Linked DNA regions of Alligator mississippiensis. The protein of the gene in region 1 interacts with the protein of each later gene in a biochemical or structural test. Links are inferred from orthologs where the notes say so. Each region holds a gene or a part of one and is shown on either strand. Other genes may lie near its edges. The genes, in order: PPARG and TRIM24.

Region 1 (15,224 bases):
TGTTCTTGCTTCTCACACTGACCCGCTCACTCTCTTGCACAGCTGCCATATCCCCCTCATCTACTTCCATCTGTTGTACCTATTTTGGCACTATCAATATCCCAGTACAATCCCTGCTGGCCAGTCTTTCTAGTTTCTCTTCCAGGCAGTTCATTTCCTCTGCATACTGACTTACCCACTAACCCCATTTTTGCTCCAGGTACTCGATAACTATGGGGATACTTTCTTCCCCTGTTGTTGTAGAATCCGTTTCAGGAGGTCCCTCCGTCATTGTATTCTTTTCCTGCTGCTCTGCTGCCCCCTCATTCCTGGGGCTTTCTAGCCCAGTATTTTTGGGTGGTTCTTGGTTTTCCTGGACCTTTAGGCACGTCAGCCGCGCAGTCTCCACCTGTCTTTCGGTCTCTATCAAGATCCCTTTCAAGTCTTCAAGCTCTCAAAAATGCTCCTGGCATTGTGCATTAGCCCTGGATGCATGTTCTTCCAATTGCATGCCTATTGCAATCAGTTTATCCCTCTGTTGTTGAGTGCTCTGTAATGTGTGCTGCTCTCTCTCTGCTTGCAACGCCGTCTCCCTGGCTGTGCTCTCTTCTAAAAGGGTCTTCAGGGACTGTCTCTCTTCCCCCAGTTGGTCCTTTTCCTTCTTCACCTTTTCCCACTGAGCCCACAGTTCCGCACACTCCTCAGTTCTGGCTCTTACCTCCGTTTTGAGGGACTGTGTCTAATCTTGTAATGCCTCAAGACTCGCTATGTATCCTCTCACTTTCTCCATTTCTTTTGCTATAACTTTCCCCGTCTCTTCTGGCTGGTTATGGCTCTCCATTAGCTTTTCTCACAGCTCTTCAACCAGGTGTTCGGCCTGGAAGCATCACTCTTGCCAGCTGTCCAGGTCCTCATGCAGGCCTTCTTTCTGGAGGGCTCCTATGAGGCTCTTTAATATTTCTAGCTTCTGTAGTACCTCCTTTTGTTCTACTATCTGGGCTATACCAGGTTCAGGAGACTTACTCCTCCATTCAGCCATCTCCTTCTGCATCTCCTGCAACTTCTACTCCCTCTGTCTGCTCTTCTTGGCCTCATCTGCCATGAGCCGTTCCAGCGCTCGAGTTTTCTCTACCTCCACTGCAATCAGGTGCTTGATCTCCTTAGACCTGCCTTCTTTCTTCCCGGGTTGTGCTTGCAGCTCTAAAGTGGCCACTTTCACCTCAGCTTGCTCCTTTTGTGACTTCACCGTTTCCAACTCAAACTCTAGACGGGCAGCTTTTTCCTCAACATCGTCTGCCCACAACTGCCAGGTAAAGGCCTCTTTCTGCCTGCCTTCCAGACTCACTATTTCTGCCATGGTTCTACTTTATTCCTAGGCCAAACCTAACGTCTTCCCCTCTATAGTCTCTAATGGCAGTCTAGTCTCTAATCTTGATTCGTCTTCCCGAGCCCTGGTCTCACTGCCTTGCACTTCACTATATCTGTTCTAGCCCTAAGGTTCATTCCCCTTCTCAGGGACATGGGTTCCTTCCCCGTGCATGGCTGGCTTCCTGTCCAATGCACCAGTTGTCATGGGATGGGGTCCTACAGGATGGCCGTGATCTTCCCAAGGCCCCCTCACCATGCCAAGTTGGCCCAATGGGCACCCTCGATTCTTGCCCGCCACATCTTTGATGGTAGCTATATAGTAGGGAGACTGCCTTTACGTCCTCGTGGACGTGGTTTGCTGTACTCTCTCTAACCCCATGGGCTCCCGGACCCCTTGTGGATCCCATTTACAGTGGGTGTTTCAGGGCACCCTAGCCTTATGGGCTATGCGTGGCTCCAAACAACCCTTTACCCCACCCCAAGCCTCACAGATGGTACCGACATTGTTTGGTCTGGGCCCTGTTGTAATTTGGCCCCCTTGTCCTCCCTGGGCCTCCGCAGCCCTGTCTCGCTCCGCGCCTTCACTGGCGCCCGGGCTCTCCGCGGCCCTGTCTCGCTCCGCGCCTTCACTGAACCCCTAATGCTGCGCCCTCTCTGGTGCTGGGGTCCCCACACTTCCATGGGTCCCCATGAGGCCTCCTCCCTCCCCTAATAGCTTCACCCAAGCCACCAGTCTTAAACAGCAAACAAAACACAAGCCCCTGGGCTATAACATAAATTCAAGCTGCCTGGCTATAACATCTTTCAAGCCACACCAGGGGTGCTCTGTCCCTCACCAGTATCAGAGGCTGTACCTGCAGTCAGGCCTCTCCGCTTTGGCTCCTCTGGGAGAGCTCCTTCCCCCTTGACTGCTGGCAGGGAACTGCCGTCCTGACCTCAACCCTGGGGTTTGTGTGTGAGCCAGGCCCTGCCCCTTCCAGTCAGCTGACCACTGGCAGGTGTGGGCCACTAGCGTACTCTGGTTGCCCTGGTAACCAGCAGCTGGGGCTCCCCACTCACTGCTAGCGCTCTTTCCCTAGCAGTTTCTACTCTTTAAAGGAGCAGGGCACCTAAGTGCTCTGCAACAGTTAGTAATATTTCCGTTTTTTTGACAGAAACATTTCTCATTTTTTGTTCTAAATGTTGGTGTTCCAGGGTTATGGAAGTGTGACCCTACTGCTGCTACATGTATGTAACTCCTTCTGAAGCCAAAGGGAGTTTTCCATGGCCAAGGAAATCCTAATAAACTAAAAGTACCCTTGTTTGGACCCCTCCTTGGAGAGGTAGGAGAAGTCAGCCTTACCCCTTGGAGAAGATTGCATTAAAGCCAGTCATTGGATAATCATGTGTTTGTCTACAACATAGTAGTAGATTGGCATTGATGGTCATGAATAAGAATGCCTGTAATTCATACTCATTTTTTTATGTGTAAGAAATAGTATACAACAATCAACTAAAGCAAAAATGCAGTTTCTCCAGGTTCAGTGTATATGTACACATCACACATTTGGGTTTTTTTAAAGGAAAGCCTATTTCATGCCATAATGCTAGAGCTGCTTATGATGACAGTTTTGATTAATTTCTATCTAACACAGAAGACAGTCTGTTTTAGTAGATGTGATCTTATTTGATCCAGGTCTTATTATAAAACTGGATCTTTTTCTTCTTGTCCTAAATTAAGGAGATGCTTATAATCACATCCCTGCTAATGGTCCTATAGTTAAATGTTCCTCAGGCTGCTATATTGGGGCTTCACAGGAACACGTGACAGTGCAAGCACACAGATAGTGCAAGAGGTTCTATAGCCAGTCTCTCTTTAAATAGCACAAGAAACAGATCTAGAAAAAAACAAAAGAACACAAGTATGCATTTCCCTGCTGCAGTTTCTTCACCACTTTGCTTGCTAGAGTCCAAGGCCTGCTCCACCTCCTTTCTACATACCACCACATGCAGTCTTTTCTGAATCAGGCAGTCAGTTACCTGCTTCCTTAGCTGGTCCTGTGATTTAAAGGACCCATGAGCTTTGAAACTGCTAAACTTCCCTTATCTCTTTTCATCTGAGTTTCCTCCTAAGTCTTTCAGGTTTGTCATTTTTAGGACTCAGGAAGCACCTGTCCTCCTTCTTATTCTCTTGTTTGGGGACTTTCCACTCTTTCAAAACCCAGCCCCCTTCCAAGAAGTTGGATAAAACTGGTTTTAAAAGCTTTGACCATCCCATTGTTCTGAGGTGCCCTCACCAGAATGAAAGCCATCAGTTTAACAACCCTCCAGTGTCCCTGTTCTTGACCTAACACAGCTCTGACAATAAATGGTGCATTCAACATACATTCAATGATTCAGTAATTTCATGAATTATGCATAGATAGATTCCCTAGTCATCACACCTAGGTACTGTGCTATAGCATAAAATATAGCTTAATGAGCCTTTGAGCTAATTTGATTACCTCATAGCAGTTTGCAAACTGAAGCATATTAGTTAGAAAGTATAACTCGTTGACCCCTTAAAATGATGTGAATATAATGCATGGATTATCAATAATGTATAGATATTTTGGAGTTCTTATTTTGATGCTTCCTTTGAAGACTAACCTCAGTGCATCACTGTGGTTGAGTTTAATGGCAGTTCTACTTTCATATACCTGAATTCTGCAAAGGGTATCCTTAACATTAAACACATGATCAATCACTGTTAAACAAACACCTTAAATTTATATTTAACTTTATGCATGTGCTGTAACTGTAGACATGGGCCACATACAAGTGACACCTTTTTACTGAAGAATTCACTACTCTTTTGGTAGAAACTAGGAGCATACAAGTGTTCATTCAGTTTCTCCAGAAGGAAACATGACCTCTGTAGGAGAGGGATCTTAGTTAAGACCTGAAAGATTTTCCATGTGCAAGTTTCTCTCACAAGACTGAAGGCCTGTATGCTTCTGCTAGACTCCTCTGTGAAGCACGAGCCTCCACTCTGGGGAGGCCCCACTCTTCAAGCTTGGGAGACACTTATGCACAACTCACTTCTGATCATAGAGGAGGTAAGCTGTTGCTACCCCTCTGAGCCATCCTGAGACCAGGGACTTCAGTGTTGAGAACACATGGGGGGCATTGCTCTGCTGCTCCACTCCCCTCCCAGTCTGATATGGGACAGCAAGCATGTGGCTGTGCAAGTGCCACATGGAGAAAATTCCCCCCTGTGCAGCATTTGTATATATGCAGGGCTAACAGGCACACAGGTCATGGGGAGCTCCAGAGCTTCCCTGACATGGCATTTAAAAGTTCCTTGCCTCGTGGCCCCCAAGGTGCTGTAGGACAAAGTGAAAAAGTCTGCTGGCTGCTGGGGTTGTAAGGTTCCTGGTGGGAACCTCAGTTTCCCAGACTGGGAACCTTGCACTTTACCCACTCACCTGACAGCCCATTTGCAGACCAGGGCACCAGTCCCAATGCCAACCTAATCTTGATGCTGATGCCACACTGGGATACCAGGGTTTGGGAATGGGCAGGGCACATTGTCCCACTGTCTTCATTCCTTCTTCAGACTGCAGCCACCCCAGTCTGGGGAATGGGAAAAGGGCATTGCCTTGCTGCTCCACTCCCTTCCCAGTTCAGTCTATGTGAGAGGAGTAGAATGACAGAAAATGTCTTTCCCTGCTACTCTGTTTCTCCCCACCCCACCCCACCCCACCCCTTCCCCATCTGGGAATGGGAGGAATAGAGCAGACAGTGCTGCCCATGGTTTCTCCAGACCAGGGTCATGCTGGTCTGGGGACGGCACATGGAGCAGGGAAGAGAGACTAGCTGTGCGCTGAACGCCTATACTGTTCTCTCACCTAAACAGATTTCCAGTGCTGGAAATTTCTGACATTCATAATCATGGGGTTAAGTCTCATTAACAGCACTGCTTACAGTGTCAAATACTTCACTGAACTAAACAAGGATGTATTTAAGCAAATGATTGCTATGATGTTTCAGAATGGACTCCTAAGGAGAAGGTTCAACTAGTTAAACAAGCTACTGATAATTTTTTCATTTATACTTTTTAATGCTTTTATTTGGAAATCTGATTAATTAAAAAGAGAGACAATTCTACTATGGATATACAGGGATATTTGGAATTTGTGGAAATAATATATTTTTAATGAAATCTAAAACAAGTCTGAAAGTTTGACAACCAATAATATAAATTCACAAGGTCATTTTGGCTTGTTTAAGTTAGCCAGGAATTACCATTAATCAGATCTTGCTTCTGCTAAGAGTAGGTTGGGGTCCAACTGTTGAGAATTTGTGGGAACAGGGAGATGAAGGGCTTGCTAAGGAGCTGCCTAGTACTTCATCCTAGAACAATTTCAATTTAGTGGGCTCTTCTTTCCTAATCAGTTAGATCTTCCCTCTCACCTGAAGTTTAGAAATGAGAAGTAGATCCTAGAATCATGTGAGTACTTGCTTGTAAAAAGTCCGCAATTTCTGCTGTGATACATCCATATCTAGAACCACTGTCCAAAAAAAGAATAACCATCTATGAATAGGGTGACCAGGGCTGTGCGAAACAGTGCTGTTTCATTTCAACTTATGTTTCACCATTTTGACAGGACAGTGTTTTGTATCGATGTCTCGTTTTGAAGCACTGCTCCGTTCTGTTTCATTGAAACTTTTGCTATTTTGATGCTTTTTCGATGTCTTGCCCATAGACTATAATGGGGGATAACGAAACTGCCTATAACTGTCATTTCTTGCCTGATTCAAATTAAAACAGCAGGAATGCTAGCCCCTGTAGAGGCCACAAAGCCTGCCAAGCTTCAAGGAGATAGGTGCATGGGTTTCTGGGAAACTGCACCTCAAGCTGCTAACAAGCAAAACTTGTGTCACGTATGTGAGTTAAGGCACAGTACGGTGAAAATAGAAGGCAAGGTAGCTCCTTCTGAGTCCATGAAGCCTGCCAGGTTTCAAGGAGATAGGTGCAGGCGTTTCTGGGAAACTGCACCTCAAGCTGCTGTGTGTTAAGGCGTGCCCTGACTGGTGCTAGGGCCTCTACATGACGTGGTAGAGTGCCCCAATTAAGACTCCTCCTTCCCTACAGCCTCATTCCAGTCCACCACTTTAAATAACACCACATAATAATAACTTAGTAAGCAGATACAGTAGCACCAGCAGCATCTCAGGCAGCCAAACTGTCACAGAGCATTTTTTTCCTCTTCTGCAGCAGCTTCTTCTCCAGCATCTGCCAGAGAATGCTCCCTGCCAGCCCCAGCCCTGGGGCTTAGATGTGCCCAGGGCCCTGCCTCCTTCCGCGCAGCTGACCGGGGACAGATGCTAGGGGTGTTGGTCTAAAGACATGGCACTGGCAGACAAGGTTCTTTGGGTCAATCTGGTATCTTTTAGTAGACCAACTGAATAATTAGAGAAATATATCTTAGCAAGGTTTCGGGTTGAAACCTTGCGGGGTGGGGAATGGGGGCAGAGGATATAGCAGGTAGAAGTGGAGAGGTACCTGGGGAGTCAGATGTCTGGCAGGTTGTAGTGTGGCAGAATTCCACTGTCTATATTGAGTCCATGAGTTTCTGTACCTAGGAGATTGATGAAGTGCAGTTCATAGGCTCATCTGTGAAAAGTGGTTCGTCCCTCTTCCCCCAACATCCCAAGCAATCCCTCACCCCCTGATGCCTCCATTACCATTTTCACTGACTGGCTTTCTTGCTTGCATTGCATGCCAGCCTCTTGCTTCTTTGCTATTCCTTCCATCCAGGAACAGCACACACACCAACTGCAGGTGCTTCCTCAGCCTAATGAAGGATACCTGAAAGCTGGTATCCCAGGCAGCTAAGCTAAACTCACCTGGAGCCTCAGAACTCCACTGCAACCAGCAAGTCTCAGGCCTGTCAAAGAAATGATGGGTCTGGGCTTTCACCAGCCAGGACTGTGTGCGTGTGTGTGGTGGCTGGAGGTTATGGTGCCTCCTACCCATCTTTCACCAGGGAGATCCTTGGTCCTGTCATTTCCTGAGGCTGCCGCACCACCAACAGTCCCACCATGCCTCCCAACCCTGGCAGAGTGCAGCTTTACTGGTCATGCCCAGGACCTGGGGCCTCCTCCTTCCCCAAAGCACCAGCCCATACTTCCACGTTTGTCCTGGCATGGGAGCTCAGCAGGAACATGTTCTTCCCCTACTCACTGGTGATGCAGTGAGTGCTGCTTCCAGCTCTGAGAGCGGGGCATTAAATGTTTTTTAAAAAATGAAAAAAGGAAAAGGATGTGGACAGAGTGAAGAGGGTGGCACTCACTCCATCTGCAGGTAGAGCTTGGGAAACCCCAGCAGCGGGAGGTTCACCTTGAGGAACACCAGCTGCTCCACTAAGCCAGGATCCAAGGAGGTGCGATGGTGTGTCACTACATCACCAGCAATACTGAACACCCTCTTGCTTGGAACACAGGTTGGTAGACAGGACAGGGCAGTTGTTCATGGGCAACCGTGCCCAGATCCTGCCACATCTGTCACGAGCTTTGCCCATCAGCAGCTAAAGGCGCAGGGCTTTAGAACCCAGAAGTCCCTGCACCTATCTCCTTGACAGCTGGCAGGATTTGTGGCTTCAGCAAGGGCCACCATCCCTGCAGTTCTCAGCCCGCTGCACCTTAACACACACAGGTTCATCTGTCATGAGTTTTGCCTGTCAGCAGCTTGAGGTGCACTTCCCCCCAAGCCCATGCACCTATCTCCTTGAAACTTGGCAGGCTTCATGGCCTCAGCAGGGGACACCACCCCTGCAGTTTTTACCCCCCTGTGGTGTAACACGTACAAGTGACATGAGTTTTACTTTCAAGAATTTGGGGTGCAGTTTTCCCCAAACCCCTACACCTATCTTATTGAAACTTGGTAGGCTTCATGCTCTCAGCATAGGCTACCATCTCTGCAAGTTTCATCCAGATCAGACAAAAACAACAAAGTTATAGATATTTCATTGATTCCCCATTACACCCTATGGCCGGATCTCCAAAGCAGCTCTGAAGCTTCAGAGCCATTTCTGCCGAATCGAAGCGGGAACCCAATCCGGAGCTCTGGATTGGATCCCTGGCATCTGAAGCAGCCGGATCCGAAGCTGAATCATATAGCTGCCTATTCACACAGGCCTAATTAAGACCATTAACAAAAGAGACAGGGGTGTTAACACCTGTGAAGTGAGAGCAGTTAGCAGGAATCAGTTAGATTATGATGAGACATGAAATCAATTGACTCCCTCAGCCAGTCCTGAATAGAAATGCTGCTGCTGTCCTGTACATTTGTCTTTAAATTTGGGTTGAGCAGGAATGAAAATGGGTTGTGATTGCACCACTCCACCCCCTTCTGGATCTGCCCCTGCTGGACTCCGCCCCTCCCTAAATGGGGCTGCTGGAGGGAAAAGAAGGAAAAGAAGCAGAAGCCACTTTACAGCATCTTCCTGCTTCTTTTTTGGGCAGAAAAAAATTAGCTTCCCAGCTTACAACAATGTATTCCAGTTCTGGGGAAAGGTGTGCAAGTTAATATGATAGTTTAAATTCTCAGTATATCATGCTTCCTGTGTATATTTTTGTCATTTATTCCCAAAATCACTTTGTCATATGAAGCTTTCAAGCCCCATTGCACAAAGAAAAAGCCAACTCTTTAAATGTCTGTCTGTTTTTCTCCTTTTTTTTTGGTAGGAATTACAATGGTTGACACAGAAATGCCATTTTGGCCGATTAATTTTGGAATTAACTCAGTGGATCTCTCTGCAATGGATGATCACTCCCATTCCTTCGATATAAAGCCATTTACAACCGTTGATTTTTCTAGCATTTCTTCACCACATTATGAAGATATTCCTCTTGCAAGAACTGACCAGACAGTCCTTGATTACAAATATGACATCAAGCTTCAGGAGTGTCAAAGTAAGTAATTTCTTTTTACATCTCAGAATATACCTATTTGAATTGCATAGTGCTTTAAGAAGCATGCCCTCAACAAAAGAGCTTTGTTTCAGACCCTTTGGAATAAGGGTCACATCTTTAGACAAAAATGTTCTTGAAGCTTTATTTAAAAAATAACCAAATCAAATATCTTTCATCTAGGGCTGTGCAAAGCTTCGGGTAGTGATTAAATTTGGAGGAGATTTGGCCCGATTTGGTGGCCGAATCTCTGAATACAAATCAAATCAGGGGAGCAATTAAAAGGTCTGAATTGATTCAAAGCTCTCTGAATCTTCGGAAAAGATTCGGAGAGCTTTGATTCTTCGGACAGTCCCTGGTGGCTGTAGCAGGGAGCTGGACCCAGACTCCATTCTGGTAAGTGGGAGGGTGATGGGGGAGGGGACCATGGGGGACCCCTGCCAGCCCGTATCCCCTGCCTGCTCCCCCAGCCCTCCCACGGGTGCCCCATCTACCCCAGCTCCTGGCATTTTTTTAAAAAGCCCCAGTGCTCATTGGGTGCTGCTGAGCGGGGAATCAATCCTGGCTGCCCCCCACTGCCCCACTCTGCATGGAGGTCTCTGCATGAGCCCCCCGACCCCCCCCCCCTCACTCCCCCAGGCTCCCCACGGCTGCCCTGCCTGGGTCAGCGCTGGCCGTTTAAGAAAAAAAAAAACAAGAAAAACCCCAAGACTCACCAGCTCCTGCAGCAGCCTTGGGGCTTCTAGGGTCTCATGTGGATCGCTCCCACCAGCAGGAATGGTGTGTCGGGGGGGGGTTTGGGGGGGAGTTCTTAAAGGGCCATCACGGTGGACAGGGCAGCCATGGGAAGGGCTGGGGCTCAGACAGGGGGGGTTGGGGGGCTCATGGCAGAGCCCGCCATGCAGCATGGGGCAGTGGGGGGCAGCAGGGATCACCACCTGCCCGGCAACACCCACTGAGTCGGGGCTTTTTTTTTTAACAAGTGCCAGGAGCTGGGGTGGGCAGGGCAGCGATTGCCCAGCTGGGGGGGATGGGCCTGGCTGATTTGGAGATTCAGCAGCAGCCAAATCTCTGAATCAGATTTGGCTGAATCAAATCAGGACAGTGATTTGAATCACCAAATTGAATCACTGTCCCCTGAATCAGCCAAATCTGAAGCGAATACTAGCCACTTCGCACAGGCCTGCTTTCATCTGATAAGAGGGCTAGCATTTCCATAGCATGTTACCTAAAAGTGAGAATCTCTTTTGCATCCTAAGCTGTTTAATGAAATCGTGGCCTAAATCTTGTCTGTATTAGGGAAGTTTGTATTAATATGACAATATTGATTTTTCTAATGTAGGGAAGCCCTTAGAATTGTACAGTTTACCTTTGGTATTGCTAGAGGATAGCAAAGAAGCCCCTAGCTTCTGAGTTGTCAGTAACACCTCAATTGAACCTTTCCCAGTCAGGCTTGGTCACCCTACTCCTGCTGAAGATCAGATTATTGACCTTCTGTTGCAAGATCAGCTAGAAGATTCTTTGACCTGATATTATTTTTGTTTGTGGGCAGAAACATAGCTAGGGCAGGGGAACCGGGGCTTCTGCAGCGTCGTGATCACACCAGTGGCAAGAGGCATCTGGAAGTTGCTGCTGCTCTCTTACGTCACAGCTGCCATGGGCAAGTAGCTGCATTGTTAAGCCTCTATTTGGGATTCAGTTCTTTAGCCATTTATTATAGGGAAGATACAAAGAGAAGCTGTGCAGTTCCACTGAACCACTATTTAACCCAATAGGTGAAAAAACATTTTTATATATAACCATTTCTTTGGTAGGAAATACCCATGAGGCTCTAATAACCCAGCATAGAAACAAATAGAATATAAAATCTTGATGCCCTCAATGAGGCAACTTTCCATTAACATGACTGTGAAGACTTTGGGATTTGGTCTTTTCTAACATTCTAAAATATCAGAACGATTTTTATCTTGACATCCAGTTGTTGCAAAGAAGGTGAACTGCAAGTGTTATAAAAAGGTATTTAAAGACTGATTAAAAACCATTGTCCTCCTGTTAAATATCCATGTTCATAATTAATTATTAAATGCATATTTTTGATTTTTTGCTATAATTTATTGTCTGTCAACTGCTAAATTCTGTCCTTAACTTTGCTGGTTTGGAGAGCACCTGTCCTATTCGTATGATTAGTGATCATGGGTAGAAAGATCAATGCTTTCTTTTATGGTCAACACTGTAGATCGTTGAAGATTTACCATATTTGTTTGTGTTTACTGGGATGCTTCAGTGAACAACTTTCATAAGAGAAAGATGGTAACAGTAAGCTGCCACTGGGTGCATCTACATGTGTGCTTTACTGTGGAGTTGACAAATTAGCTCCACAGTAAAGTGACACCATCCACACTCACACTTAGGGCCGGTCCAAGGGTAACTGGCACCTTAGGCAAACTGTTTACCTTGGTGCCCCCACCACTTCCAATATAGAGGAAAATAAGAAGTCTAGAATGAACTTTTACATGTACTTATTTGATATTCAAAATGAACAGTAAAACAATAAAAACAAAAACAGTATTGATTATTTCACACTTTTCATTAACCCTAGCAATTATACTGCAAAAAATCTAATAGAATCTATTATAATGTGTACAATTAAAAGAAAATCTTCACGAACATTTGTGTAAGAAATGAGAACTTTGCTGTTCATGCTTTCAGTTTTGTAAATTCAGAAACAAGTTCTTTAAGACAAAGTTTTCCAGCTATTTCATGTTCTATCAACACGGTGGCCAGTCCAACAAGTCTCTCTTGCAGCATAGAAGAACGAAGGTATGTCTTTATCAATTTTAACTTTGAGAACCTACGCTCCTCACTAGCAAACAGAAACTAGGAGTCAAAAGAATGCAGAGAGCAATGAAGATGTTGGGAAAACTATCAGTTTATATTCAGAAATAAACTTCAGTACATGTTGAGATGTAAGCATTATCCACATCTGTAGATTTTGCCACATCTACAAAATGAATGATCATTGTCATCTGCTCAATATGACTCACATCTTGTGTACAGTCCTGAATTATTAAAAAGTATTTTGCAGAATGGGCAGCTTCTACGATTTTCTCTTTAACAGCATTTGCTAGGAGTTGAATCAGTTCATTCTGTGGCCTTCTGTCATGGTACAGGGTCCCCAGGGACGGCCGTGATACCCCTAGGGCTCCTTGACCTTGCCAGTCCTACCCATTGGACACCCTCTTTCTCACCTGCCACATCTTGTTGGTAATTATCTTGAATAGGGAGGCTGCCCTCGAGTTTACATTGGGCACGGTCCTGATGGACCCCGCTGAACCCTATGGGTTCTTGGACCCTTTTTGAGTCTTGCACAAAAATGGTTGCCTTGGGGCACCTTCAGCCTTATGGGCTAGATGCATGGCTCCAAAACCTCCCTTTTACCATGCCCCAAGCCTTGCAGATGGTATTCACCACTTGTCTCTCTCCATGCCCCCTGGTGCTGGGCTCTCCACAGCCCTGTCTGCACACCCCCTGGCGCTGGGGTCTATTCACCCCCTTCATCTCTATGCCCCTGCCGCTGGGGTCTGCTCACCCCCTACATCTCTGTGCCTCCCTGTCACTGGGGTCCCCACACTGTAGTGGGCCCCCAGTGAGGCTCCTCCTTCCCCAATAGCCTCAGCCTGATCCACCGGTGTTTATAGAAACATCAACCAAAAATATGAGCCCCTGGGCTATAACATAACACAAAAAGTTCAGGGTGTGCTCTGCCCTTTTAAAAGAGTCAAACTTCCTCCCTGGCACTAAGTGCCTTGTAGGCAAGGGTACCTGGTGAGTTCCTGGAGCCCCATTAGCCCTAAGTGCAGCATGTCTGGCAGCTGCAGCATCCCTGGGCAGTTCCTCCCGGGAGGCTCCTTCCCCTTTGGCTGCTGGCAGGGAACTGACCCTCTAGTCCCAGCCCTGGGGCCCTGCCTCTTCTGATCAGCTGACTGGCTGCAGGTACAGGATCATTCCCTCCTTAGGTCTGCTGCCACAATATCCTGCACCTGTGGGGGTTCCTGCCTGACTGCTAGGGTGCACTCTCTAGGCAGTTTCTGCCCTTAAAGGAGCAGGCACCTTAGTGCCCTGCAACACCTTCTTCCAAGTTAATGAACATGTGTTTCATGGTCACTTATTTTATGCAGATGCTCCTTCATGACTGGATCAAACACAGCCAGGTATTCAATAAATTTTAAGAAGTTTCCATTACCAGCACTATATAATTTTTAATTTGTCCTGCAGAATGCCCAGTTTTGCCCACCAGGAACTCTCACTAAAGCAATCAGTCACTCCAATATTTACTGCCAGTATTTTTCTTCTCACTTGATTCCATGTAAATTTTCTTCATCAATAGTTCTCTGGTTTTTCAATCACAGTTCAAGTTCTTTCCAGTTTGGGAAATTTTCCAAATGTTCACAACTTTTTTTCATAAGAAGAGACAATTGCAGATATGTTTTTCTAGTCCTTCGAACTGTTTTCAGTAAGTGATGATGCACCAGTTGCTTTACTGCTAAACAGTTTGCAGCAGAAGCAAAACACTTGAGTCTTTTGACACTGAATATTGTAGCCACTGTCAATACATTTCTTCCCCATTGGTAAGTAATCTCTTGCAATGATGCACAGAGAATTTTCTTTTATTTCCATATTTAGGGAAGTGAAATTCCTGAACTTGTTCAGGTGGTCCATGTTCCACCACTATTTGTCGCACAGGGTCATCACATCTAGGCCATGTAGCAGGGTCACCGTACTGTAACTTGTTTGCACCTTCTTCATCTTTCATATATGTACCTTCTGCTCCCTTATTATCTTTATCTACCTCAACTTCAGCATGTGTGTTTGTAGGTGAATAAATTTTCTCGATTTCAGTGTCAGTTTGATGCTGTGAGCTGCCTTTGTCTTGATGTGAGCTTCCTTCACCTTGATGTTGTGAACTGCTTCCATCTTGATGTGGTTGAAATGGAAGGTATTTCAGGATGGAACCCTTTTGCTTTGCTTATTCTTTTTCCTGTTCAGCTTTTCGTTTATGATACTAAGCTCCAGACGGGTTTTTTCTATCTGCCATGGTACCATTCCCCTGACACGGTTTTAAACTGTTTCAAATAAATTATCAATATAGAGAACAATCAATCTAAGCAGGAGCAATGCATAGGGGCAATGCCGTGAGCGTAGCGGTGCACCCCCTACAAAAAGGCGCTGCCGACATTGTCAGCGGTGCCTGTGGCCAGTGACCCCCCTCCCCCCACTGCTGACACCGCTGGTGGTGTCTACAGGCAGTCAGTGCTCCCTCCGCCATGCTCCTGCCGCCGCCAGGGGCACGTGTCATTCATGAATCTAAGAACAATTTCAAAGAAAATTCTGGCTGTGATGACATTAATAATGTGGACAATTGATTAAATTATCATGAAAGAAATATGGCTAGGCACTGCCTAAAGTGCCTTAATGGGCAAACTGCCCCTGCAATCAGGAAGGTATTTGTTAGGATGTACGACTAAGGGTGTAAACATGGCAACTGGTTATCTAATGTTGGTCAAGACTGCGTGGTCAAGCAGATGTTTTCCTGTTTCCTTAGCATGGTCTTCTATAAAGTAAATTGTCATTATCCATTGAGTAGTTATGTTTATTTATCTCACATATCCTATGATTTCTGGGTCAACCAACCTTACATGTTCTGTACACACAGTCATACAACTGTTTCCTTACACAACAATGATACAGGCATTATATAATGAACTAATTAAAAAATATCTCTTGAGCTTGCTAGCAATTAATTAGCACTCATTCTGCCTTAACACACATATTCTAAATGCCTACGTATCTCTCACATAAGTATCCAAACATAATTTGTACATAAATCCTTATCCCTAGTTCAACTTACTTTAAAAAATCACATGCATTCTTACAAGAATTAA
Region 2 (15,610 bases), on another chromosome or scaffold:
TTCTCAGCTAGATATTAGAAAAACTGACAAATCCAGTTCTGACTTAGGAGAGACAAAGAACTGCCTTGTCATTTGCATATTAACAATACTAGTTAAGTGCACTGAAATAGGATCAGAGAAAAAATTTACCATGCCAGCCAATGAGAAGGGGGTGTATCGCTGCTCCAAGTTACTGAGTGAAAGGGAAATTCTCCTTCACCAAAAAAGGAGCTATGCTCTACTGCCTTCCATTCTAATCCTTGTTTTATAGTATCCTATACATGTCGATACAATGAAAGATTGACAAACTAGAACCTTGTGACATGCTCCATGAGAATGGCCTTAGGACACATGACCCATCTTTCAGTCCTAACTTCTGAGTCTTCTAAGAGATTAAAGAATGGTGCCACGCAGAAGCAGTTCCATTTCCCTCTACTAGGGCCTGGAGGTGTCAATGATTCTTTGTAGTCAATAATATCAAAGGCATCAGATGGATCAAAAGAAAAAAAAAGAAAGAAAAAATAAGCATGTACCCAATCTTTTTTCATCATAAGGAAATCAAAGGAGATCACTGATACATAAAACAAAGAGTATTCATGTCATAGCCAGGGCTAAAATTAAACTGAGTAGGGTCAAGAGACTCAGTGGACTTCAGTTCTTGTCAGTTATATTGTTAATATCTACACTATATTATATGGTTCTGTTCTGTTCTATTCTATATGAATCTTTTCCGAAGAAAGAAGATTAAGATGCGGTGATTTTAGCAGAATTCCTAAAATGAGGAAGTGGTTTCTCTAATGACTTGCCTACAAAGAAAAGTGATGCTGGTAGAGTGTAAATTCAGTTATGCCAGTGTAACTTCCCAGGTCAATTTATGCCCTTTGGAAAAGCTCTAAGCCTGAGGTAGCCAATTATTTGGGGCCACAGGCCATATAGGGAGTTTTGGTGAAGTGTCACAGGCTGGGTCAGCATCAACCCCTGTGCAGCAGCTCACCAAAACACCCTAAGTGGCCCCATCCTGGCTGCTTGACCCAGCACCCTGTTTGGGCAGGTCCCATCCAGTCTCCATGGAGACCCTGGGATCGTGGAGCAGTGATGGTGTGGGGCCAAGACCCAGGGCAGAGCCACAATCCGCTCCCCGCATGCCCTTGCCTGCAACGGATCATGATTTTGCTTCATGCTTAGCCAGGATGGGGCTGGGGCTGGGATCTGGGGGAGTGGCATCCAAGAGCGGGATGGGTGGGCAGGTGGGGCCAGGCTGGGATTGCAGGGCCCCAGCCCCATACTCTCACCACCCTGCACACAGGGAGCAAGGTCACGACTCTACTCTGGGCCCCAGCCCGAACAGTCCCCACAGTCAGAGCATGCCCCAATCTCTCTCTCTCTCTTTCTCTCCTCCCCCCACTCCCAGCCTGAACTGTCCCCACAGCTACAGCATGCCCCAATCCACAACATCCCAGCCCCTTTCGCAGCTTACACCAACTCCTGGTCTGCATGCCAGAAGTAGCACTGAGTGGCACCGGCACCAGCACCAGCTGTGGACGCTGCAAGCAAGTTCCCAGTAGGTATCAGGGCAACTGCCTGGGACTACAGCTGATGCGCTGATGCAGCAGTGTCTTCTGTGGACCCGGATGGATGCCCTGATCCCCACCCGGAACCTACCAGCCACGTCCATAGCTGATGCCGGTGCCCACCTGGCACTGCTTCTGGCACACATGGCAGGAATTGGTGTAAGCTGTAGAAGTGGCTGGGATGTCCCTGGCATGACTCAGCAGCTGGAGCTGCTGGTCCCTCATGGGCTGGATCCCATGAGTTGGTAGCTGCCTGCCCATGGGCTGGATACAATCAGTTGTTGGGCTGGATCTGGCCCACGGGCTGTATTTTCCCCACCTATGCTTTAAGGTAAACCAAAGAGGAACTTTTATTTTAAAATAAAAGTTTCTGCAAAGGGGTTTCTATCAATTTAACTGTAGTGGTATAGCCATACAGGTACAACCTGTTAAACTGTCCACTGTAGATAGGCTCCGAAGAAGGCATCTGAAAACCCCATCAATAATGGACTTACTGTCTGCTACATTTCAAGAAACGTTTTAGAACTGTGTTATTCTCTTTACAAATCCTCAGGCCTAAAAGAATACTCGGTGATGGAGAAGTGGGCAGCTGTATTTTAGTACTTATATCATAGAATAAAACAGAACAAAAACATGTCTCAGTCAGTGCCACATTTAGGCATGAGTACTATAGGGCCAAGAAGAGGCTCTACCTCTTGGACCCCCTGCAATGATCTGATCTGATCTTTCACTGAATGAAAATGAAAGCATGTCAACACAGCACACTGTAGTGCCATATAGAGACGCCTAGTGATATCAGATACTAGAAATAGCAAAGTCCCAGGAACATGTTGCTCCACCTGAGCTAATATACGCCACTGCTCAGCAGAGCTAATTAGTTTGGACTGAGTGCCAGGCTAATATGACTATGCTGATAATGCATGGTATCCAAGTTATCTCATTTACAGCTTGCTTGTGTATCTCAACAAGGCACTATATTGTGTTGAACAGGGATATCCTAAGTTTCTCTCTCATGGTTCTGGAGAAAAAATTGAATATGTGAAAATAGCATATTTGAGTGATACAGTCATATTTGCCTGAGTCTGCAGGCATTCTAAAATATTGGCTCTAAGGAAACTGTACCATATATTTCAATTAGGTTTCAGCTCCAAACCTGCTGTTCTAGTGGCCCTGACAACACTATCCCTGTGAGCACAGATGACAATTTTCACTTGATCTGTCCACAGAAAGTGGTCTATAGCCATGACCAAACATAAATGCACAGCTGCAGACAGTTTCAAAAATGGCTGACTGGGTGAAAAATCTGAACCCTCATTGCATGAGGGGTCAGATGAAGACGTTGAAAAACAGAGCATCTTTTGTAACTTGTGTCTGTTCAGTCTCCCAGCCTCTCACTGTTTTCAGAATGGGAGGGGGAGAAAGGAAGCAGAGAGAGTTCGGTTTGGGGTTTTTTCAGTCCCCACTGGAGGATGGGGCAGGTGTATTGGAGCCCCCCTGAGGTGACAGGGGCTCCAATTCACCCACTCCACTTTCCAGCGCTAGCTGGGGAACCCCTGGAATGAGCTCTCTCTGCTCCCTTTCCCCCCCTCCCATTCTGAAACAGGAATAGGCTGGGAGAGAGGAGGGGCCATTGCTAGAGGAAACCAGCTGCAGTCTTCCAGCCAGCAGCCAGAGTCTCTTCCCCCCTGGAACCAACAGTGAACTTCTGTTTGGTCCCAGGAATCATTATAACTCAGAGCACATCCTACAAAATGTTACAGCAGGGAACTGCACTTCTGCCTGCAACCTGTGGCTGCATCTACACAAGACACTGATTGTACAGTTGTAATTGCAGTCATTTAAAACTTGCATACACAAGTACTAAATGACAGTGCAGTAACTGGAGTTACTGCACAGTAGCATTGCCAAACGGGTTTTAGGTAATGCTGATTGTGCAGGAGCTCATTAGTACTGCGTAGTAGTGTCATGTCATGCCATGCTTTGTGCCATGCGATGCTACTGTGCAGTAGTAATGAACTACTGAGCAGTCAGTGTCTTGTGTAGATGTGACCTGTGTGTAGCAGGAGGAAAAGTGAATGGCAGGTCTGACTGATCCAGGCACTCAAGTAAACGCATTACGATTCCTGAGGTGAGAAAGCACTAAGCATGACATTGCATTAATATTTGGTGGTCTAGATTCTATTTACATTTTGTCATTCATGCCATTAGACTTAGTGTTGGTAGTGTTGAGGCGATGTTGTTGCTGTGATGTCCAGGAAATATGTGAGGCGCAAAAATTCTTGTGCATAATACCTTTTATTGGACCAACTCATGGTTGGAATAGACATAGGGAAGCTTTCCGATACCACAGCACAGTAAAAACCTGATAAAGGAGGAACAACGGTTTTCAGAAGGGTAGTTATCATTTAAGAAGTACAGAAGTTAGTGAGCATCAGGTACATTATAATGGGCCATTAAACCATTGTCTATGATAGGTCCCTGATACTTAGTTTCCAAAAGCTAATTAATTTCTGTTCCCAAGCCCATCTTGTAAGAGTGTTGGGTAGTTTTCCTTGGACTCTTTTGAACACTCTTGTTTCTCCTTTATCAGGTTTTTACTGCTTCTCTCCTGCTTGTTGGCAACCTGATTTCTCTTATATCTTGTTGTTGTTTACATACGGAGTTTTACACAAGCTCTGTTACATCAGCTACTTAACTCTGCTGTGTCTGCTTCTATCCCAGGGGCCTGAGGAAGGGTACTCTGATACCCAAAAGCTTGCCTATGTCTATTCCACCACACAGTTGGTGCAATAAAAAATATCACCCACAAAAATTCTTGCCTCTCGCATTAGACTTTGTGGCCTGGGATTGTTCTGTCCTAAGTGCAGGACTTTGCACTTGTCCTTGTTGAACCTCACAAGATTTCTTTTGGCTCAAGCCTCCAGTGTGTCTCTCTGAATCCTAGCCCTACTCCCCAGCAGATCTACTGCTCCTCCCAGCTTGGTGTCATCCGCAAACTTGCTGAGGTGCAATCCATCCCATCTTCCAGACAGTTAATGAAGATAATGAGTAAAACCAGCCCCAGGACCAATCCCTAGGGCAATCCACTTGATAATGGCTGCCAACTAGACGTTGAGCCATTGATCACTACCTATTGAGCCTGGTGATCCAGCCAGCTTTCTCTCCACCTTGCAGGCCATTCATCCACCCATACTTCCTCAGCTTGCATGCAAGAATGCTGTGGGAGATGGTATCAAAAGCCTTGTTAAAGTCAAAGTATATCACGTTGACTGCTTTCCCTGCAACCACAAAGCCAGTCATCTCATCAAAGAAGGCAATGAGGTTGGTCAGGCATGACTTGCCCTTGGTTAATCCATACTGACTGTTCCTGATTACTTTTTTCTTCTTCAAGTGCTTAGAAATGGATTCCTTGAGGACCTACTCCATGATTTTTCTGGGGACTGAGGTGAGGCAGTCTGGTCTGTAGTTCCCTGGATCCTCCTTCTTCCCCTTCTTAAAGATGGGCACTAGATTTGCCCTTTTCCAATAGACCAGGGCCTCCCCTGATCACAGTGAGTTTTCAAAGATAAAGGCCCTGTGGCTCTGCAATCACATCAGCCAAAAACCCTCAGCATCCTCACGCTGAGATCCAGCCTGCAGACCATATCCAGCTCATAGAGGTGCATCATTTGGAACCCAGTTTTGCCCCAGTCTTGGAGTGACTCACAAGCAGTGTGCAGGGTACACTGGATGGCCCTGGATGATACCCATAGAGTGGCCACCAAGGGCAGCACAACCCCAGAGCAGCCTTGTATAGCTCTGGAGCCATGTTACACATGATAATGGCTCCAGAATGGTGCAGCACAGCCCATGAGTGACTGGTGCCTTCTGAGTCTGGGGGGGCACCCGCAGAAGCCATTGATGGCAGTGGCCCTGTCGGGGAGCACCAGCTCTACGAATAGCATCAGTGTTGGCTGTCAGGGGGGGCACCGGCCCCACTGGGGGTGGGCATGGGCACCCCTGTGCACCCCCTACCAGTCACCTATGGCACAGCCCCACAGAGGTTGGAACAAGATCAGAATGTGGGGCTGGTCTGTGGGTCTGATCCAGTCTGCAGACTAGTCCCACCAAACTCATCTGGTCTGTGGGGCCGGGTAAGTTTGATGCTCCTGTAACAAGGGAATCTCAGCTTGCCCAAAAGGGAGTAAAAAGAAAATCCTTACAAGTCCAGCAGCCACCTCTGACATGGGTGACCTCTGCCACTGCTATCTGAAGAGGATTGGGACTGCAGCATGGAGATAGTAATATGGAGAACCCTTGTCATGGTTTTCTTAGGATCCCAGATTGCCTTCTTTTGGTCCTGCTACTTCTTACAAATAAGGAAGCAACCGTTTGAAGAAATTATGAAGCAAAAGAACAGAAGAGCCATGAAGATATCTACTGACAGAAAAATCAGCTTTGGAACTTTTCCCCTTCCCACCTCCCCTTTTTTGGGGAAGGGTAGCTTATAAATCTAATTAAACCAAATAAATCAGTCAATCAGTCAATAAATAAATGAAGTTCAGTAACAGAAGAGTAACATTTTCTTACTCAGTATCCCAACTCATAAAAGTGCAATTGTGCTGCATATTTAGTGGACACAACAATTGATCTGACCTGTTTCCTATGGTTGCTGCCCCAGTCTGCAACCTGAACGTTGGTTATTTCTCTTAATGCACCAATTGCTTGTGAAACACTTTGGTAAGATAGTGGGGTTTTTTAGTTTATTGTCCTATGGAATAATATTCTTGTTTCATATATTGGTACTTGCTTTATGTAAAGATGTTTTTATTAATTTCTGTGAAGGTTTTGTTTTCATAATGTTGGTATTTGAGGAAGCAGGATGAATATCCCCTTTGTAGGCCAAGTAAGATATATACACATTTGAGGAAGTCACAGTAGTCTTGGTATGTTCTACCTCTTCTGCACTAGGTCCATGTGAAAATAAATTGCAAACATTTTTTTAAGAGACTACACAGCATGAATTGGTTGCTTCTCTCTCTCATTGTTGCAATTCCTCCTTAACGGGTTTTTCTCCTCACTGGATTCCAGTTCTATGCTCAGCGGGTAGTTATTTTGTAAGGGCTATTCCCAGTGCCTCCTTAAAGCTTTTTCTTCCTGTCCTGGATAGTCTGAGTATAATCCCACCCTTCCTATAAAGGGAAGCTAACAGGGGATGGGGGTGGGGAGGAGAGGGTGAGCCTGGCTAGCCATATGCATATTAATAACTGAAGCTAAAGGCTCCACCCTTCTGTTGTTGCCTCTGGGCAAAGCTGGGAGGAGGTGGCAGGACTGGAGAAAAGAAGGCAGATGGGCTGGGTAACATTGTTCTCATTAATATTAATCAGGAGAGATGAGGAGGAGGAGGAGGAAGAGAAGGGGAGGAGGAGAGTGCTGGTCCTTGTGTTGTTAAAGCCAGACAGGGAATCAGATCTGACCTCCTAAATTGTATTAAAAAAATACAAATTTGCCTTTGTATTGTGTGACACTATTAGTATCAGTTATAGATTATGCTCCAGTAGTATCAATCCTGGACCTGAGGAATCCAAACCAAGGAGAGGCCTGTGTAAGCCACTGTTGTGAAGACACTACTAGTCCTGTGTCGTTTACAGCTTCTGCACTGGGGCTAGCCATGTGTCTGGGCTGACAGGGGTACTGGGGGTTCCAGGTTGACCTCGGGTATGTGTTGAGGGCAGCTCGAGAAGGACACGAAAAGCGGGTAGCAGGGTGTCAGAGCCTCGCTTACAAGATAGGATGTGTGTGTGTGTGTGTGTATGTATGTGTGTGTACATGTGTGTATATATGTGTATTTATGTATGCACATATGTGTGTGTGTTTATATGTCTATATATGCCTGCGGAGTTGATGGGCAAGCAACTTCATGGAGTTGTGATCAGTCTGGCACACACTGATCCCGCCGCCCCCTCCTAGCTCCTGAGCTGGGGGTATCACACGCCAGCTGAGAGAAGCGGCGCGCAAGAAGGAGCCGCGGGACCGTGTTGCCTTAGGCCAAAAGGGGCGTGGCTACTGAGCGAAGGGGGCGTGGCCACGCCGGAATGGCGAGCGAGCGAGCGGCGGGGCGGAGCAGCGAGGGCGGGGCTGACTCCGGCAGAGGGGGGCTGGGCCGGGGAGAGGCGAGCCGGCGGGGCCGAGACCCTGGCGTGGGGGGCGGGGCGGCAGAGGGGGCGGGGCGCGGCGGCGGGTTGGCTGAAGCGGGCGGAGGGGGCGGGGCGCGGCGGCGGGTTGGCTGAAGCGGGCGGAGGGGCGGGGCGCGGGCGGCCGTTGGCCATGTTGAGCGGGTGCAGCCGCCTCCCGGGCTAGGACAACAAACCCTGCGGTGGCGGCGGCGCGCGGCGGGGGCGGGGCAGCGGCGGCTCGTGCGACGCGGCGGCTGGTGCCGGACAATGGAGGCAGCAGCGGTGGCGGCGGCGGCGGGGGGCCCGAGCTGGGCGGCGGCGGCGGCGGGGGGGGAGCGGGCGGCGCTGAGCGGGGAGAACGAGGCCGAGAGCCGGCAGGGCCCGGCGGAGCGCAGCGGCGAGGCGGCGCCGCTCAACCTGTTGGACACTTGCGGCGTGTGCGGGCAGCCCATCCAGAGCCGGCGGCCCAAGCTGCTGCCTTGCCTGCACTCGCTCTGCCTGCGCTGCTTGCCGCTGCCCGAGCGCTACCTCATGCTGCCGCCCCCCGCGCCCGCCGCCCCCCGCGACCCGCCGCCCGCCGCCTCGCCACTGCACTGCACGACCGGTAAGTGCCGCTCGCGCGTCGCCGTCGGGGCCGCGCCACGTGCTGTCGCGACAGGCGTGGAGGGCACCGGGACACCCTCCCCCCAGGGGCGTCTCGTGGTTGCAGGCGGGCAGCCTCCCCCTTCCCCTCCCCCCACAGGGGCGGCCGGCCTCTGAGCCTCCCGCCCCTCCCCCTGCTGCCCCGAGGTTCTCCTGCCTCTGCCGGCAGCCTGTGGGTCTTAACAGGGCAAGCTTGTTTTAACCCTACGCTTCAAAGGCACAGCTCCTGCTCTGCTTCCACCAGGTTTGTCCTTACCCTGGATGCAGGTGTGTGACAAAGCAGGCAGTGGGCTGAGGGATGCAATGCACATACAACACTTGATCTGAGCCTTCAAGAGGCCGAGACGCATATATATGTTCGGAGAGTTGTCGTCCTCCCAACCCCCCTTTTGGTTCAGGGTGTGAAGATGGCCCAGGGTGGTTGCAGCAGGAGCTCCTGGTAAGGAGCAGGGCGTGGTGTTACAGGGCTGGGCAGATCATGCCCTCCCCAATAGGGGCGTGGGTGAAACATGCAGCGGACTTCGTGCTGACCTGTAGTTGCAGGGCAGAAAGCAAAGGTAAGCTGTGAGAGTTGAATCAAACTGTGCTGTAATGGCTCTTTTATTGCCCCTCCGGGTTTTGTGTTTTGTTTCTTTTTTTATTTGTCAAACTTCACAGATTGGTTTCACTTTTTGGCATAGATGAGGAAGGAAAGGGCTTCTGCGAGGGAGGAAAAAAAGATGGAGGGCAGCACGAGGCACCTGTTAGTTGGTGGGGGGGAGCAAGTGGCTTAGAAGTTCCAAGTTCAGTGATGTTTCTGTGTTGGGCAGTCTGCAAGGGCACCAGCCTTCAGGCAACCCCTGCCTGCTTCACCTGCCCAGCCTGCCTGGGCTTGCTTGCACAGTATGGGACTCTGTGGTAGTACCCAGACAGGGGGTGACCAGGCATATGTCCGTGTGTCTGTGTCGGGGAAGATAAAGGGTGGAGGGCCTCCGTGTCATTCCAAAGAGTTGGTTGCTTTGAGACTTCCCATAGTCTCCCCTCACACTAGGATTAAAAGGACTTTCCTTAGAAAGCTGCAAGTACCTTGCATTGCCAGCAGTTGCATAGAGCTGTGTGTGCAGGGGGAACCTGGAAAGCAGGGCTGGGTACATGAGTGCAGGCAGAGGCGGTGGAACAGTTAACAGTTGATGGGCTAATTCACTTCTCATTGAGTGTGGAATTGGTAGCCATTCTGTTCTGTTAAATACCCATTGGGCAATAGAGGTCTTTCCCCACCACCTCCCCCCAGCAATTAACAGGTGTTTTACTGTTACAGCCCAACCACCCCTTGCTTGCCACAAACCATAAAGCCCTCTACTTTCTCCCTCCAGAACCTGGCTACCCCTCCACCCCGCACCATCCCAGATAAGGCAGAGATCCCTGCCCAGGGTCCGTAGCATGGAACTGAAACTGATACAGAGGCTTTTTGCTTCCCTGCCCTGTGAACTGTTGTTTCTGTAGGCAGTAGAGTCATAGTTGCATCCCAGAGGAGCCCTAGTATGGTTTGTGGGGTGTGAGGAGTGGTGCAGTTTGGGATGTCCAGAGGACTGACCAGACACTAGGCACAGAATGCTCTATGTCCACACATAACACTAAACTGGTTCAAGGAGAATCAGATTAGTACATAATTTTCCCAGTGTGCTTTTGAAATGTTCCAGGAAATTTTAACTGGTCTAATGTGGCATGCATGTCTAGACTCTTGCGTTTTACAGGGTAATTAGAGTGTTCTCAGTTTTACATCTGTCCATACTTGTAGTGTCCACATGCTATCAGTCTGGTTAAATTTAGATGAGGCATTTAGCTAAACCTTTTTGATTTTGAATTAAATAAAGAACCTCTTGAAGTCGTCCTTAAGCAAATGTGCTTTTCATCATGGAGATCTAGTTTGTGTTTGACATAGCTGTAATACATTTCTAGGCAATAGGCATGTTGTAGTAGAACTTTAGTACTGTCAGTAGTGTATTGGATGATAAAAATTACTTGAACCAATTTTCCCTTAATCTCTTTCTTAGTAGATGTAAATGCCTGTTTATTCTATTCTGTAATACAAAAGTTCATTCTGAAAAAAAACCAGAAACGTGGTGATGGAAATGAATGAAATAGATATCTTTAATAGGTAGGTGTGATGGAACTGGAGCTACTCTCTAGCAGTTTATGAATGCTGTATATTGACCTGGATATTGGGATGAAGGGACCTGGAGAGAGGGACATGAAAGGCAATATCAGAACTGCTGAACTTGAAGAATTTGCTGTCATCTTAACCTGTAAAATGCATTTTGTCTAGGGAAAAGTTCATAACCTAGGAACACCAAAACATTATAGTAATTTAAAAAGGAACACAGCTTGCAGAAGAACTTTGTCCAACCCACAGCATGTCCCTCAGTCCCACCTGGCCCATGTGCTGTCTGGCCTGTGGCATGTCCCGCTGGTCCCAGGTATGCAGTGGGACTGGGGTAGCTCTGCGGCTGGACTCCACTTCTAGGCAGCCCAAGGGGCAGTGGCTCCTTCCGACTGCTGCCACCTTTGGCCCCAGCCCCATGGAGACTGGCAAGAACCTGCACACACAGCCCCAGCCTTGGCCCGCCTTGCACCCACTCTGGACTTGGCTCAGCTGGAGTCCTGGCCTGCTCCAGACTGCTTGCCCATGATGAGCGGCAGTTGCAGCAGCTGGGCAGAAAAGCAGCTGCCTCCCCCTAACCACTGCTGGGCCCTTTTTGCTGCTGCCTCCCTGGAGCTTGCACCTGGAATGCCTTGTGGCTCCTTTTCACTGCCACTGCTCCTCGGCTGGGAGGTGGCACTGTGGTAGTGGGGACTGCAGTGGACAGGAGCTGCAGAACAGCCTGTGCACAGGCTCCAGGTGGCTGCAGCAAGAAGGGACTGGCAGTAGTGAGGGGGCAGCAGCTGTTTTTGCCCTGCACCCAACAGTAGCTTCTGCCTGGCCACTGCCGTTGCCACCACTGCTCATTGGGCGCAGGCAGTTCGGAGCAGGTGCAGAGCAGACTGGGGTCAGGGCTGTGCACATAGGTCCCGGCTGGTCCAGAGCTTGTCCACTCCTGCTGGGGTGAGTCTAGAGAGGGTGTGGGATGAACTGGGGCTGTGCGTTCAGCTGCTGCTGGGTGCTGGTGGCAGGGAGGAGCCCAAGGTTGAGTGGGCTCTGGGCTGTTGTGGGGTGGGTGAGGAGGGTGTTGGCCAGCCTGCCACCCCCAAAAAGTTGCCCACCCCTGATGTAGATGGTCTTAAAACCTTTCTTCTCTAGCTGCATTCTCCTGATGGCTTAACAATATATTAACTTAATTTTAAAATTGTTTGATCACAGTATAATTTATGAGGAACAGGTTCCCAAAGAGAAGAACTAGACCTAGTCAGACCTACTGCATTAGCTTGATTGATACACAGCAAATTGTGGCTTAGCCCAATCCAGGAGTGGGGAACTGGTCAGTTCAAACCTGGGGAAAGTAAAGGCACAGAGCCTGACACGTGAAGGGGATTCACTTGGAGACCAGAAAGGGAGCAGAAGTACAAGTAGCCTTATAAACAGGACAGCAGGTTCAGGCCCCATTATAAACATTATTTGATGATTCTCATGAGCAGTATAAGCAAATGGCTCAATTTCCAAGCGTCAAAGAATGACAAAAAGAAAGGGGTCTGTTCCTGACAAAGAAAGTGGAAAGACTAATATGAATGAAGGAGGAAGGCTTAGTATTGTTCAGAGAAGTAGTTACATGCATGCCAGGGACAAATGATAAAAGGTACATAAAATAATAATACAGAAATGGAAATTAGGTACTCCCCTCTTTTTTCTCTTAATGATAGAGGGGATGGTACTGTATGTATGAAGAATATGCTGTCTCTTCCTGGTATTTGTAACACTATCTCAGGTCGTTCATGAGCGGCTCTATTGTGACATGAGAGGATGGTAGGTTCAGTTTTCTCTCAGCTGTTTATGTGCTCCATTTCTTTTGGCTGAAATGAGTGGTGGTAGGGGAGAGCTAGATGTCTCTCAAGAGTTTAATTGTTGGTAATCTGCCATAGGGGTGGCTTCATTGTCACTTTTCCTGAAAGCTCCATGGTGTACACTAGTACAGGGGCTGGCAATCTATACCCCAGCCTGTAGATATGGAGCTCTGGTGGCACTTAGCAGCAGGGGGCTTCAGCAGCAGTTGTTTTCTCCATGCTGCTGCAGGGAAAAGCCAGCATCTGGTACCCTCCTTATGCTGTTCAGCAGCAGTGGCAGTAGCAGCCATGGCTGGATCCTAGCATTTGCCGAGCCACCTGCCTCCCTCTGACTCAGTTGCCTGCAGCCTAAAAGGTTGCTTACTGCTGCACTAATGAACTGAAGGCCCAGATTCACCAGTATGCTTGAATTGCTTTGTACTTCCCAAATGATGCAAGGCAACTGTGAACCTGATGGGCATATAATATGCTCCAGTTGCTTTAAGCTAATTGTGACCTTAAAATTAAAGCACGCATGTGCATGCACACATGACATCATGTATCGTCAGCTGGATAAAGATATGGTAAAACTTTCTCCTTGGAGGAGTTCTTCAGCTTTCCCCTATAGCATTTTTAAATTAAAAAGAAAAAGAATTTCTGGAGAGATGTATCAGTAACTGAAGGATGAAAACAAGTACAAGGGTTTTGGAACAACATGAGTGACAAATGAACTTGGTGCAAACTAAAATAATTCTTGTTTTAAGGTTAAATTTAAAAACACCTGAGTAGTTTAAGATATGGGAACACATACTTAAGTTATCCAACCAATCTTAACTGGGCCTTCTGTCCATGTTGTGGAGAAGTGTATATGGGATTGATTTATTTATTTAAACAAAAATCTTATCTGGGGCTCCAAAGATGCCTAATGCGTGAAACTTAACTGGTGGCATGCTGTGTAAAACAAGGAGTCATTGAGCTTAACAACATATTAGGATTTAAAATATATATATATTAATTTAAACACTCAGTGAATAAAAGCTTTCAATGGACTTCATATCAGAAACAATAGTTGAGTCTATGATATCTGGTCTTCAAGTTTAAGGTGTCAGAAGAATGGCTCCAGGGTGCAAACATTTATATATAGTGTGGGATAGAAATGTCACTCCTAGGATGATGAGATCAGTTTAACTAGAGAATTCTTCTTTTAAAATTACTGGAAGCTTGTTAGCAGGCTGGCTTTTGCATGGCAGCCAGTTATCATGTGATATGATACTGAGTAGCATGCATTATTGTAATGTTGCAAGAATAGGTCTCTTGACATCTGAAGAGTAGCTTTGGCACTTCTAAAACAGACTGGGCCTGCGACCAGGTACTGCCATACAGAGGTGGCCATCCGATGTTCATGGTTGCCACATATAGCACAGGCAGCCACTGCCTGGGAGCAGAAAGCAGAACAGCAGATTGGGCAGATGATCAGTGTGGCACTGGGGGAGGATGCCAGGCTTTTGTTGTAGGCCTGCCAGAAGGGTTGGCCCTATTGTTCTAATACCTCACCTGCCAATATTGCTCCTGTGTAGCTGGGGCAACTTAAATCTTTTAATTTTATTTTTTTTTCAAAATTGGTTTCCTGAGTGTATTAGGTTGAATCAGTAAGTGTAAGATGACGATTGCACCTTTTTGTTTGAGCAGATGTGCATACTGGGTGGTGCCCCAATGTCTGGTTGAGTGATAGCCTCTATACTTAAATAAGGCCATGTTCATGGTGGAGGGTGCGTGTGAGCATTGAGTTACTTTTGTGGGCCTTTAAATGTGAAGCTCAGGCATGTAATCGACAGAAGATGCATACTTTGCAAAAGAACTGCAAATCCATTTACATCTTGTGTATCTGAAATATTCTTGGTTATTTAACATTCTGTTCATGCCAATTTGGATACTGAGTAGATTTTTAAAATAAATAATTGTCTAGGTAATGGAACTGTGTAGGGAAGAGCCATGTAATTGGAAATGCATATTAAAATTTTATCTTAAGTAATATAATAATATATAATAACATTTCATTAATGCCTGCTTCAGATGCAAGTGAGATCTAGACCTAGTCTTTTTCAGTCAACTTGTCTACACTACAATTTAACAAGTTTTTAGCTTGCATGTCCAGCATAGTTTGTAGAGTATAAGTGGTTGAGGAATGTTCAGACTAACATTTACAAATATTTAAAGTACCTAGCATTGATTGGGAATCACTGTTATAGGAGTTACGCTGAAGTTGTCATTTGGTAACTTTGAGCAACATTAATGTAAGTGGTTAATGTGTCATATTTTAGATGATTAATGTCTAAAAGTGTCTGCTTACTAGGATTGTTTAGGGCAGTGATGCTTAACTTCTGGCCCATGGGGCCATGTTGTCTGGCCCACAGGGCTCTCCATTGGTCTGGAAACTTTGTGGCTTGGGAGTGGTGGGAGCATTAAATGACAGCAAAAAAAAAAAAAAAAGGAGCTGTGTCATTTTCTTTCCACGGACTGCCCCTGCTGACCACTGGTTTATTACCATAGTGGGGAAGGGCAGCCCCCATTGCACACTGGTAGTCACCTGTGGCCCCTTCTGTCAGTTTTGGAGTGTAGAGAAGTGGAGGGGATGGCCTGGGCTGCAAAGTGCAGCTCCATCTGTGTTTTCCCCTACCCACCCCCTTGCAGCAGTGTGCTGCTGGGAACATGGGAATGGCTTGCAGAGGGGCTGCCTGGTTTTGGGGAAGGCAGCAGTAGACCTCTGAGGAGCAGCTGCAGGCATTGCTGGAATAACTAGGGCAGGTGCAGGGTGCTGGATGGGGAGGAGAACAAATTTACCTTCTCGCACAGGTGGATCTCATGACATACTTCCTTTGTACACTTGTCTTGCTCTCACACCACACTAATGTGTTGTGACATGCCCTTTGGGAGTCACTGGTGTAAGGCTTTACAGGATATATATCCAAGTTTGACTTCAGTTTCTTTCCCCAAGCATCTGGAGTCCAAATTCTTGTCATTTTAGAAATAGCCTTTATTATTACAATAGTTTCCATGACTTGCACAGCTAGGGCTGTACACAAATATCTCATTTGTGATGGTCCTGATTTTCCTGGGTTTTTACTCTGATCAAAATGGGAACAGCACGGCCTCTTACACACAGAGCCCTGCCAAGCTGCATTGCTGTTACCCTGCCAGTAGGTGGCTAGGAAGAGCACAGCGTGACGGGCTTGTCCCTATAACGAACCCTAGTTAACACCCAGATGCACAGACCTGTGGGTGTTGAGGGAAGGAGGAGTGTTGGCATAC

Evidence for each region.
Region 2: the proteins of PPARG (region 1) and TRIM24 interact in a test that uses a peptide from one of them, tested with the Homo sapiens proteins (2 studies listed by BioGRID). The link is inferred for Alligator mississippiensis from reciprocal best matches to the Homo sapiens genes PPARG and TRIM24.

What each region holds. Positions count from the first base shown.
Region 1 is NC_081835.1:30,989,272-31,004,495, reverse strand, and holds the start of PPARG (peroxisome proliferator-activated receptor gamma), read left to right. Parts: upstream 1-9,062; 5' UTR 9,063-9,065; coding exon 9,066-9,285; intron 9,286-15,224. UniProt on the Homo sapiens protein: Nuclear receptor that binds peroxisome proliferators such as hypolipidemic drugs and fatty acids.
Region 2 is NC_081827.1:109,067,276-109,082,885, reverse strand, and holds the start of TRIM24 (transcription intermediary factor 1-alpha), read left to right. Parts: upstream 1-7,865; 5' UTR 7,866-7,972; coding exon 7,973-8,309; intron 8,310-15,610. UniProt on the Homo sapiens protein: Transcriptional coactivator that interacts with numerous nuclear receptors and coactivators and modulates the transcription of target genes.